Neurospora crassa OR74A: one gene and its partners. The protein of the gene in region 1 purifies or fractionates together with the protein of each later gene. This does not show direct contact. Links are inferred from orthologs where the notes say so. Each region holds a gene or a part of one and is shown on either strand. Other genes may lie near its edges.

Region 1 (4,175 bases):
CAGCAACTGAGAATCTAGGCCATGGGGAAGATGGAGACCTTGATGGACCCATGGACCCTGTCTCACTTGGCAGCACAGTCCAAGACGTGAACTGTTCTTTTAGTGCCTTATAGAACAAAACACGAGAGAAAAAATACAAGACATCTTACTCAGAGTGAAGAGACCGGATACTATATGTAGATCACCGCTCAGAATTAAATGGTTAACCGTGAAAGGAAACATGCAATACCACAGCCATGAATCTGCGTCTAATCATCCAAGCCCAATCCGTCCACCTGGCCCAAAAACAGCCCCTGCTCGCCCTTCAGCAGCTCACTAACATCCAGTCCAGTGAGGTACCTCTCGCTGACGCCCGTGTTGATCCTCTTGCTCAAGAGGTCTCTCAACGCAGCCCTCAGCGACGCCAACTCGCCCTTGCTCATCTGCTGTGCCTCCTTCTGCTTCTGCTTCTTGGAGCTACCCTTGCCACCCCACTTGCCCGCCTTCTCAAGCTCTTCCGAGTCATAGTCGACGCCCAAGTCCTCTGCCGCCTTCTTCATCCAATCGTCCTCTTTTCCACCCATGGTCTTGGCCTGCACCGCATCCGCGATCTTCTTGGCCAAGTCGACGCGCTCCCGCAACTTGGCGACGATGCGCCGGTCGATATCGATGGTGCGAAGTCCGCTCGAAACGAGCTTCTTGGTGTTGTTGCCCGAGTTGCCGGCCTTGACCTCGGCCTGGGCGTGCACCTTGGCAACGAGGCGCTGCGTCGGCACGGCTTCTTTGGGCCCGCAGAGCAGGATGCTCGTGCCCGAGTTGGAGGCACGGGCGGTACGGCCGGAGCGGTGCACGTAGTCCTCGGCGGCGCGCGGGACGTGGTAGTGGATGACGAGGTCGACGTCGGGGATATCGAGACCACGGGCAGCAACATCGGTAGCGACCAGGATAGCTGCAGAACCGTTCTTTTTCTTTGCGCCTTCGTTGGCCTTGAAGCGGTCGATAGAGCGCAGACGGGCTTGCTGGATCATGCCCGAGTGGAGAGGGAAGGCTGGAAGATTGAGGTTCTCGAGGAGGGGGGTTAGGCGACGGACAGAGTTGACCGAGTTGGTGAATACAAGCGCGCGCCGTGTGGGCTGGAGCATGAGAGTGGCATAGAGGTAGAGATCCTTCTCCATGTCGCCGCACATAATGAGACCCTCCTTGAGGTTCTCGGCCATTTGGTGGACGGGATTGGCGTCGACAAACTTGGGGGTTTCGCGGAAGTTCAGCTTCTGGAGAAGATACTCCATGTCCTGGGTGCTCGTCGCCTTGAACTTGGATTTTCCGGCCAACTTTTGCTGCAAGTTCTTGTTGAACGTGGCGGAGAAAATGAGAGTCTGCCTCTTGTTGACGTGCTCTTCCTCCTCCTCCTCCTCCTCCTCGCTGTCCTCTTCTTCCTCTTCCTGTCCCTCCTCATCAGTACCGCCCATCTTCTGATCCTCATTGTTCTCTTCCACCGGTGGCCTGTCAAGAGCCTTGAAAATCTCCTCGGCCTCCTTGAAGTGACCGTCCTTAAGAAGTCTATCTGCCTCATCCAACACGAGGAAGGAGATGTTCCTCAGAGAAGCGAGCACAGAGTTATCTGAGCTCATAACCTCCCACATTCTGCCCGGGGTCGCAATGACGATATCGGCGACCTGGAGCTGTCGTTTTTGCTTCTGTACGGCCATGCCACCAAGAACCGAGCAAATGTAAGGTGCTGTAGGAAGACCTTTGCAAAGCGCTTGAAGATGGTCTCTGATCTGCTGGGCAAGTTCTCTGGTGGGTGACAAAATCAGCGCTGTAGCGCCCTTTCTCTCTTCCTTGTTCTGCTTCCTCGTCTCAGCAGCGCTCAACCAGCTTTCGATGACGGGAATTCCGAATGCCAACGTCTTTCCCGAACCGGTGGATGCTTTTCCGATAACGTCGTGACCAGCCATGATCTCGGGAATAGCCTTGGACTGAATCACGGTGGGCTTGGAGAACCTGAGTTTGGCGATGGACGAGATCATACGAGGTGACAAATCGAGTGGCACCCATTCGGACATATCAATTTCCTCCTCTTCAGGCTCAGGAAGCTCCTCCAGTTTGGTGAAAAGATCGGTTTCTAGTTCGGGGTCCTTCGGCTCGACAGTAGTTTTCTCGTTCTTGCGGGCCTTCTTCTTGTCCTCGGCGTTCTTCTTATTCGCTGCCTTATTTGGCTGCTCCTTCTTTGGCTGTTGCTTTTGCTGCTTTTGCTGCTTTTGCTGCTCCTTTGGCTTCCTCTGGTCCTTGGAGGCCTTCTTTTCCTTGGCTGGAGTACTCGCAGCTTCGGCCTTGGTTTCTGATGTCTTGACTTCCTGGTCCGCATTTCCAGCAGGTTTCGGTGTCTCTTCGTCGTCGAAACCACCAAACTCTTCGCCGTCATCTTCTACCTCTGCCTCCGACTTGGGGACCGCAGCCATCTAAAGACATATGTGAGTTCATTCATGTCCTGTCGCTGTCATCATCCATGACCCAACTTACGAACTTGACAACATCGCCATCCTTTACAATGTCAACACCGGTAATTTCCTCCAAACCAAAGAAACCCTCCGCATCATCGAACATTTCAGGAATGTCGACCGTCTTCCATGCCAGCGCATCAACGGAAACAGGTCGCTTGATCTGCTTAGACGACGGTTGCGTCTTGCGGCGCTTTGGCCCGCTGGCGGGGGCTTTTGTGTTCTTGCGCTTCTTATCGACGGCCATGGTGTGAATATGTCGTCGTTTTCGGGTGGAAAAGGGTGTCGGGTTTGAGTGCTTGAGGTTGTTGGATGCACTGATGAACTTTGATTTGAAGGGTGTTGTTGACACTGCTCAGTGAAAATGGCTGTAAAAGTGAAATGGAAATTTTGGCTCCACCTTGCAGCTGGGTTGCAGCAGCCTCTAGCTGGAACAGGCTAGCCCATGTGCTGTAAATGACACCGCCTACCTATTCCAGGTCTGGCTAACAAGCTTGTAGTGTAGAGGGTGCCGACAGAATAGGACGTGGAAACAATCAGTCTGACTTTGATGGAGGAAACAAAACATGAGACGACATCTTATGATTCAAAGCTTTCGTTTATCGCCAAAGTCCTTCCCTCCAAGTATGCGCGTCTATGGTGTGCGAGTGCTGGGGCCGCCAAGGTGCTCGATAATTATGCCGGCAGAATCCTTTTTGGCGGTGACTATTTGCAGCAGACGGACCCAAATCGGCGCCCAGCGACAGCGACCCGTCACCAGGCAAAAGTGGGGCCCAGTCTCTTTCACAAGCTCCCGTCATTCACTCTCGTCACCCACTCGCGGCACTTCATTATTCGACACAAGTAAGTGAGAGCGAAGCATTCAAAATGGGGAAATCATCAAAAGACAAGCGTGATGCCTACTATCGCCTTGCAAAGGAGCAAGGATGGCGTGCCAGAAGTGCCTTCAAGCTTCTTCAACTAGACGAAGGTAAGAACTGTTTATTGCATATGTAATGTAAAGAAGTGTATCACCGCTAACACCGAGCGTTCCCATCAGAATTCAACTTGTTTGAAAATGTCACTCGTGTGGTCGATCTCTGCGCTGCCCCCGGTTCCTGGTCTCAGGTTCTATCGAGGGTTCTCATCAAGGGAGAGAAGTTCGGCCGGTGTGCTTGGCAAGACCGTGAGGCCAAGTTCCGCCAACAGATGCTCAACGTCTTTCCCGAGAAGCAAGACGCTCAGGATGAGGTTCAGAGGGTGCAGGCGACTCAGGAGAGCACGCCGGCTCCCAGGGAACAGGTCAAGATTGTGTCCATCGACTTGCAGCCCATCAGCCCTCTGCCAGGAATCATCACTCTCCGAGCCGACATCACACATCCCGCCACCGTTCCGCTTTTGCTTAAGGCGTTGGACCCCGATTTCGACCCAAGCACCATGAACCCGCAAGCCTCACACCCAGTGGATCTGGTCATCAGCGATGGTGCGCCCGACGTCACAGGCCTGCATGATCTTGACATCTACGTCCAGTCACAGCTCCTCTTCGCAGCCCTCAACCTCGCCCTCTGCGTCCTCAAGCCTGGCGGCAAGTTCGTCGCCAAGATCTTCCGGGGCCGCAACGTCGACCTTCTCTACGCCCAGCTGAAGGTCTTCTTCGAAAAGGTTTACGTCGCCAAGCCCCGCTCTTCGCGCGCCAGCAGTGTCGAGGCCTTCATC
Region 2 (4,162 bases), on another chromosome or scaffold:
GTATCTTTCTAATCATAATAATAGCACATCCGAGCACGCCAATCAAGACAAGCAGACTGATTAACCTGTCCTCTCGCTTCCGTTTTCCTTCCTTGTGTTTTGTTCATCTTTTGTCTCGTCCCATTAAACGCTGTTCTTTTACATCCAGAGACGGATGGTGCCGTCAGCACCGGCAGACACACACCACGGCTCACGCGGGTGCCAGTCCATATCCAGGACACCAAGCTTGTTGACGACCTTGTGTCCCTTGAGCACCTTGACAGGCACAATGGTGGGGTTCTCCAGCTGATCGTTCGGGACCTTGCCGTGGAAGATTTGGAGAGTGCCGTCGTCACTGGCATCAGCGAAGAGCGGCAGGCCGCCCCTGTGGTACTTGACCTGACGAACCGCCTCGCTGTGGAACCTCATCGTCTTGTACGGACGAATGGAAAGATCCAGATCGTGCCACAAGAGACGCTTGTCGTAACTGCCAACAATCAAGTTGTCACCGCCGGGGTGGATATCGAACGAAGAAATCCTACAAGTCAACAGAGTTAGCAAATCAATTCCAGTCACATTATCCGGCTAGCCATGGGGATACGTACCACTTCGCGCCAGGCTGGACAACCTTGACCAGCTCGAGCTTCTGCAAGTCGTAGCAGCGAATTGTTCGTTGAGTGGCGACGAAGAAGAGAGGACGGAGGGGATGGAAAGACGCTGTCTGAGCCAAGCCAGAAAGCTTGCGGAAGGGAATCTGGGTGAGGTGCTTGGAGAGCGTATGGATGGCTACGGAGCTCCTCTGTCCGGAAGGCGATACTGTCGCAAAATGGTCTCCTTTCCTGTGCCAGTTGATGACCTTCACGGTCGACCTGACTGTGATCCTGATCAAGACACCCTCATCCTCGAGCTTAGCACCGGGGCGGGCCCACTTGGCAGGAGGCTCCTTGCCGGGAGCAGCGCCGTGTTGCTGACCGTTTGTAGCATAACCGAAGCCAGCCGACAGGATATCTCTGCTAGCCTGGTCCAAAGCAGGAGTAACGCTGGCGTGTGTAGGAACCATGAGGTAGACATCCTCACCCACAGCAGCGGAGAGAATGAAAGAGTCCTTCGCGGGCCTCCACCTAACGGTGTTGACAGCCTCCTCACTGCTGAGCTTGACGGACCAGACTTGGCGACCCGTCAACAGCTCCCACACACGTACCGTACCGTCGTCGCCACCGCTAGCGACAGCAACACCAGTAGGGTCGATGGCAACGCTTCTTACACGGCCGTCATGGCCGCGGAAAACTGTTTGGGCAACTGTAGGGAAAGGCTTGAGCTCAGAAGGCGAAGGAAGCTTGGGCAGGAGCGAGTTGGGATCGATGTTGAGCCTGTTCTTCCGCACACGAGGAGCAAGGTAAAGGTCCATGCACCTCTCGAATCTCTCCTTGACGATCTCGCCATAACCGGGAACTTTCCGCAAAGAGTCGTATTTCTGAGGGAGATACTCCTTCTCGCGCTCCTCGGGGTCGAGCTTCTCCCACTCCTCTCTCTCCTCCTTGGTCGGTAGGTATTCTGCGGGCGGGTTGTAACTCATGTCGAAACCAGGAGGAGGCAGCTTGGGTGCCGGGATGTGCAAGGGGTTGACTTCTTGTGGCACCTCATCCTGCCAGATATCAAAGTACTGCTCCTCCTCTTCCTCCTCCTTCTCGCGCTCCTCAGGGGGCTTGTAGGGCAGGATCCTGCCTTCCCTAATGGCGCGAACAAGCTTCATAATCTTCTTGGCCTCGTTCTTGGAGGGGAGGAAGCGACGCTTGGGCTCAGGGGCAGCGCTCAGGGCTATTGACTTGTTAGTTGCACCATTTCAACAACGATAAGTGTAGATAGATTTTGACTTACGCATTTTCTCCTCAATACCAGTAAAGTATTCCACGGTTTCAGGGTAGGGGTTTTCCAGCTCGTTGGGAATCATACCCATCTGGACACGGCGAACAAGCTCCAATTCATCATCACTACGGTATGGCAGTCAGTAAGCGTGACCCGAAGAAACCGAGCAAGACAAAGGAGGATGGGTTGGGTGCATACTTGAGGTTGAGAGGGTTGCCGGTGTGAATATCCGTAAGGCCAGTCCAGCCCTTGGGCACTTCGATGCTGTCGAGGAGAGCATCAAGAGCGTCGCCAGTGGCCGGGCGCATAATCTTCTTGCCGTTGATATCATAGCCGATATGGGGATAGCTGTCGTAGAAGCTCATGGGGATGTTGCCGATGGTGTTTGGCGCTTCTTGGGCATCGGAATCGTCCGAATCGTAGACGGGGTCGATCTCACTGTTGCATTCTCGAGTTAACTATGCTGGCATGGAACGATATTTGATCCATTTGCAGAACAACAACATACTCGTAGACGTAGCGCTCGTTGCCGTTCGCGTCCTTTTCGATCCGATAGTTCTTGTCTCCATCATCCTTCTCCGGCCGCTTGGGGTCGACTCCGGGTATCTCAATCTCGAGTTCCTCTTCTTCGTCCTCGAGAACAAGTTTGCCCATTGCCTTGTCGCCCTCAGCATCGGAGGGAATGTCGTCGCTTAGTAGGGAGCCCTCCTCATCTTCGTCGTCGCTGGCCTCACTTCCGCTTTCCTGCTCGCCGTCCTGTTCGTGCTCATTGTCGTCGAAGTCAGAATCGAACTCGTCTTCGCTCTGCGACAGGGCGCCGTCAAAATCGGGTGCAATCTCGTCGTCGGACTCAGGCTCGGCGTCCTGGACCTTTCGCTTCTTCTCGGTGGCTTTTGGCCCCATTGTGAATGTGTGTTGATTTTTGGCGTGTTTTCTGCTGGTAAAACACCCAGATAGCGTCGCAGCGATAGGCGTCGAAAATTCCTAGCATACGAATTGGCCTGGGACTTTTTTTTCTGCCGGTTCTACAGCTCATGGCGGGGACGAGTTGGTCTCACCGCCCTTGGCATTTCTGGCAGCTAAAGAACCATAACATATTACCCTATCGGTTTAGCGTGTCAAAAGACAAATGAAGCCAGGAGCATGCACTCCGTGTCTCCGTCCCTCTGATACCGACTTCAAATTTTTAGCCTTATTTGTTACTTGTATATCATGGATGAGATGAATACCGAACTCCAACCTCGATGCAGCATCCCTCTGCACCCCTACACCTGGCTTCAACCACGCACGATTCCACTTCTGTAGTTCGTCCTGCCCGTTCTGTGGGTATTGGCAGTCAAAACTGGCAAACCAGCATCAATCAAATACCCGGCGTGATCAGATTGAGTCTCCATGGATCGCTTGTAATTACAGACTTTTGTTCGAATTTTACCCCATTGCCTCTTACACTACGGTTTTTGTCACCATCGCCGTCTTTTTGCGCTTTCCAAGCATGGCAGTTGACAATATGTAGTGTAGCACGACGCCTGCTAGGGAACCTTGATGGGCTAGGGTTACTCGACACCTTCACACTACACTACTGCCATAAAACCCACGCTATAGTCATCCCATAACTAGCAAAAGGACATCATTCATGCCTTTGGCCAGTGAGCCACATATATGTCCAAAGGCCTGGGTGTTTGACTGATACACTACCAGTGCCATTTGAGGCAACGCGGCAACAAAAGTCAGTCTCTGCATTATCTGTGTCAATTGCGGCTTATTAATATGGCATCAGGTCTGGCGCGACCAGGTGATCTTTGATTGCTTGCGTTGGCTCGTTAACATTGCGGGCCTGGAGCATCTTGTCTGAAATCTGCTTTCTTTGCCCTCCTCTGAAAACGAGTCGATCCTATCATCCTAGGTCCCTTGTTACAACGTACATATCCATGCTGTTTGCCCATCTACTGTGTACACCACACTAGCGTCTACATAGATAGTGTCTTGGAGTACCACCGGGGCGATTTCTGTGTCTTCTAAGCGGGGCTTGCGGAGAGCCTTAGACGTTTACCTTACCACTCAACCCTTTTTATCCACCACACATCTACGCCCGCGGAAAAGAAGGGGAGAAAAAAAAAGCAAAATAAAGGAAAGGCCGGTTGCGGAAAACAGCCATGATCTCAAACAGCGAAGTCACTAAGGAGAAAGAGCCGGTGAAACGCCGTGCCTGTGACGAGTGCCGTATGTTTCGTCCCGCTCCCCGTTTCGATCCATATATTCATCTACCTCTACCCTCTAGTCAGCAACCATGACTGCCCAACCGCACTAATGTATCTAA
Region 3 (3,652 bases), on another chromosome or scaffold:
TGGATGAGATTTTTGGGCAGGAGCAGGAGCAGGAAGGTGAGGTAGAGGAGGTTGAGGGTGAGGAGGTAGATGAGACACAGGCAGAGGTGGAGGTAAAGCCGAAGGAAGAGAGCGTGGAGGATGTGATGAAGGCTGCGTTGGAGGCTGGGGATTTGGACTTTGATGAGGAGTTGACGCTGGGCAATAGCAGCAGTCAAGCGACGGTTGATGAGGAAGAGGTGGAGAGGTTGAGGAAGATGTCGAGAAGTCACTGAGCCGGCTCTCAAGCTGCTGGTCGAGTGCTGAACAAGAAAGGAAAGATGTCGACGATGCACCTATACCCCGAGACCGACTTGGCTACTTTTAGACGTTGGTAGATGAACCTTGTATAATCCTCAGAACAACCTGACTGGGCTCTGCAGAAGCCATCTAGTCTATGCTCCAGGTCAGTACAGTTTTCGCGTACAGTTTAGTTCAGAAAGAATCTGTCACGGCTGTTCTTGGCCTCGTCCCTGCAGATATCACAAAAATATCCTGTACAGTATTCACATTCCATTTTATCTATCCTGGGTATATCATAACAACCAAGTTCTGCTGCTTCCCTTCTCTTCATCAACAACCCCCTCTTTCCCGACCATTTTTCTTCCTCTACTCGGCATTCACACCCCTCCCCTTATTAATCTGCACCTTCTTATCCTCACCACCGCTGAAGATGCCCAGCTGATCCCACACCACGCTGAACACCTTGCACCCGTCGCCCGTCACACTGCTCTTCTTCTTCTTGCCCTGCTGGCTCTCGCGATCAATAACGTACACGGGCTCGCTGACGCTGCCCATGCCGCCCTCGTCCTTGGTCGCTGGCCGGACCGACCGCAAATCCCAGATCCGGCACGTCCCGTCGTGCGAGCCCGAAACCAGTGAGTACTCGTTCTCCGGGTTCGCCGCCAGACTGACCACCTTGTTGGCATGCCCACGCAGCGTCATGACGCTCGTCGCGGCCGTGCTGGTGCGCGGGTCGACGAGGGTAATGTGTCGGGCGGAGGTGCCGCAGGCGAGAAGGGGCGCCGAGGCCGAGGAGCGCGGCAGGGCAGCGAGAGAGAGGAGCGCATGCGAGGTTGTGAAGGTGCTGACCACGCTGGAGGTGGTCAGGTCGATGGTCTTGACGGTATGGTCCTGCGACACAGAGTAGGCAACGGTGCGGTCGCGGGGGTCGAAGACGGCGGCCGTGGCGGGCGCATTGTGGATGTTCATAAGGGCGAGCGGGCCGCGCTGGGCGGCGGTGACGGAGGTCGCGAGCTTGCGGCGCTTGGATGTGTGGGCGCCGGGAAGGAGCGAGGAATCGGAGACTTCGGGCGCGGACGCCTTGGAGGTGGTCCAGAAACCGATGGAACCGTCGGCGGAGGCAGTGAGGATGCGCTTCGAGGCGCCGTCAACCTCGAGCGAGTCGATCGAGGAGGTGTGGCCGTACAGTTCGAGAGTGGGCTTCAGCTCGCCGCGACGCTCGTACGACTCGCCCGACTCGGTGTACTTCCATACGCGAACTGTGCGGTCCATGCCGGCCGAGGCAATCTGAGTGCTGGAGAGGAATTTGGCAGCTTTTATGCTGGCAGTGTGACCACCGTGGCTGCCCGAGGGCGAGGTGCCAATCACATTTCCAGAGGCGTCCCATATCCTGAGGAGACCGTCGTACGAGGCGGAGAGGATGCGATCTTGGCCGCGCTGAAAGTTGTCGCCGGACCAGCGGCCCGCGGGAGAAGTAGCGGAAAGAACATCGACGGCGCTGACCCAGTCGTCGTGCTCAAAGCTGGCCTCGTATGTTGGTGGGATCAAACTGCGAACGTACTGAAGGGTGATGTTGGTTTCGAGCGAGAGGCCGTTGGCGTTGAGGTACTCTTCAAGACTGCCGCGGAGGAAGCTGCCGTTAACAAGGAAGTCGAAGGGGATCGAGTTGGTGTCGAGCATGGACTCGGAGTTGAGAATACGGGAGAGGCCATAACGGCGGATGTCGGCGGGGACAAGGAGCTGGCGCTTGCTCTCATCGAGCTGGATGTCCTCCTCCTGGGTGGTGAAGGTCACCCGGACCTGGGCGCCTGATTCGGTAGGGTGGTCCATGGCGGTGCCTGTGCTGTGATATTATGTGAATTGGGTAGTCGCTGTTCGGTATGGGCAGGCTGAATACTATCAATTGACAAGTAAAAGTCAGATTGGCTTAGATTACCGTGAAACAGGCGTCGTCGGGAGGAGAGTGTGGATGTTTACTTTGCAGCGGACACCACAAGGCCATGCCAAATCCAAGACTCCATCCAATTTTTTCTGTCCAGCCTTGCAGCGCAGGGGTCTGGAGTGTTCTAGCTACCCCACGTTCCCCTATCTTATCGGAACTTTATAGCGGGGCCGACGGTTCCTGTGAGGGTCACAGTGCTGAAGCGCCGCTACTATGTAAACTATACTAGTATAGAGTAGTACCGGTCATGTACCTGGCTTAATTGAACCCACTGGAGCTACGCGTCTCGAAATTGTCAAGCGCGTCGTCGAGTTTCGTCCCTTGAAGTCAGTTTCCGAGTCGGGCAGCACATGAATAAGTCACCAATTGCTTTTGTCGTTCTCACATCTTGAGCCATTGTCAGTATCAATCATACGATGGTCACCTTGGACGAAGTTCTCGGTAGCGGTTTGCTACAGAAGCCCTCGTGAGTAGCAGTGGATCATCCATCTTCCACTGGCGATCATCAGCTAACAACCCAACTTCACGAAGAGGCGATGCGCCCGAGGCTCTCCAGCGCCAGATCACCAACTACAAGCCCCTTCATACCTTCAAACTCGAAAAAACCCGTCCCTATCAACAACAATATGCCGATATTTACTTTTTGCGTCTTACAAAGATCAGGCCCGCCGTCGAGGCAGCCGCCAGCGCCGCTTGGGAGGGAACAGTGCTTGGTGGTGAGAAGGTCAAGAGGGTCGAGCGTGTCCTAGACGTTCGCCAGGGAGAACTATGCTGGGTAGCTGGAACAGTATATATGGACATGCCTCTAAAGCCCTCAATCCTCGAGGATGTCTCCAAGGATGTGAGTTTCAGCCTATCCTTTGGTGGACACCAGGCAGCTGACAATGATGTTATAGCGCTGGATCTCCGCTCCCACCTCGGTCGGCCACTACTACTCCGGCAACGGCGAAGACTCGGTAATGCTCGAAGACGACTCCGGCCGCATCCGTCTTGTCGGCAACGCTCTGCAAAACCACTTCATGGTGACCGGCTGCATCGTCGCGGTAATGGGCACCGAGAACGCCAACGGCGAATTCGAAGTCATCGACCTCCTCTTCGCCGAACTACCACCACAGCCCGAGCGCTGGTCGCTCTCAAAAGGCAAAAAGGAAGCAGACTCCTCCGAAGACGTCGAAATGATGGACGCCTCTTTCTCCAGGCAGTCCCACAAGCCCTCCTCTAAAAAGATTGCCCTCGTCTCCGGCCTCGAGTTCTCCAACGCCGACACCTCCTACGCCATGGAACTCAACCTGCTTCTCGAGTATCTCCTCGGCGAAGCGCTCGATCCCTCCGTCCAACGCGACGAGCTCTCACACATCACCCGCCTCATCATAGCGGGGAACTCCATCTCCACGACGGCGGCCGAACAGGCCAAACCCGCGGCTGCCTTCGACACCACCACCGTAACAA

The links. Proteins that work in one complex are often made in the same cells at the same time.
Region 2: the proteins of NCU04041 (region 1) and NCU03321 purify together in Saccharomyces cerevisiae (affinity purification with mass spectrometry, with the first as the bait; 3 studies listed by BioGRID). This does not show direct contact. The link is inferred for Neurospora crassa OR74A from reciprocal best matches to the Saccharomyces cerevisiae genes MAK5 and ERB1.
Region 3: the proteins of NCU04041 (region 1) and NCU03764 purify together in Saccharomyces cerevisiae (affinity purification with mass spectrometry; 5 studies listed by BioGRID). This does not show direct contact. The link is inferred for Neurospora crassa OR74A from reciprocal best matches to the Saccharomyces cerevisiae genes MAK5 and YTM1.

What each region holds. Positions count from the first base shown.
Region 1 is NC_026506.1:2,535,041-2,539,215, reverse strand, and holds NCU04041 (ATP-dependent RNA helicase mak-5), read right to left. Parts: upstream 2,811-4,175; 5' UTR 2,728-2,810; coding exon 2,503-2,727; intron 2,442-2,502; coding exon 249-2,441; 3' UTR 113-248; downstream 1-112. Other genes in the region: NCU04040 (tRNA (uridine-2'-O-)-methyltransferase TRM7), read left to right, coding at 3,348-3,450, 3,520-4,175. UniProt on the Saccharomyces cerevisiae protein: ATP-binding RNA helicase involved in the biogenesis of 60S ribosomal subunits and is required for the normal formation of 25S and 5.8S rRNAs. Required for the maintenance of dsRNA killer plasmid.
Region 2 is NC_026501.1:5,301,441-5,305,602, reverse strand, and holds the start of NCU03321 (eukaryotic ribosome biogenesis protein 1), read right to left. Parts: upstream 2,813-4,162; 5' UTR 2,749-2,812; coding exon 2,354-2,748; intron 2,284-2,353; coding exon 2,044-2,283; intron 1,971-2,043; coding exon 1,858-1,970; intron 1,798-1,857; coding exon 585-1,797; intron 518-584; coding exon 139-517; 3' UTR 1-138. Other genes in the region: ada-4 (all development altered-4), read left to right, coding at 3,999-4,065.
Region 3 is NC_026505.1:2,340,069-2,343,720, reverse strand, and holds NCU03764 (microtubule associated protein), read right to left. Parts: upstream 2,286-3,652; 5' UTR 2,092-2,285; coding exon 628-2,091; 3' UTR 513-627; downstream 1-512. Other genes in the region: NCU03765 (3'-5' exonuclease/helicase), read left to right, coding at 1-254; NCU03763 (DNA polymerase delta subunit 2), read left to right, coding at 2,620-2,669, 2,735-3,044, 3,100-3,652. UniProt on the Saccharomyces cerevisiae protein: Component of the NOP7 complex, which is required for maturation of the 25S and 5.8S ribosomal RNAs and formation of the 60S ribosome.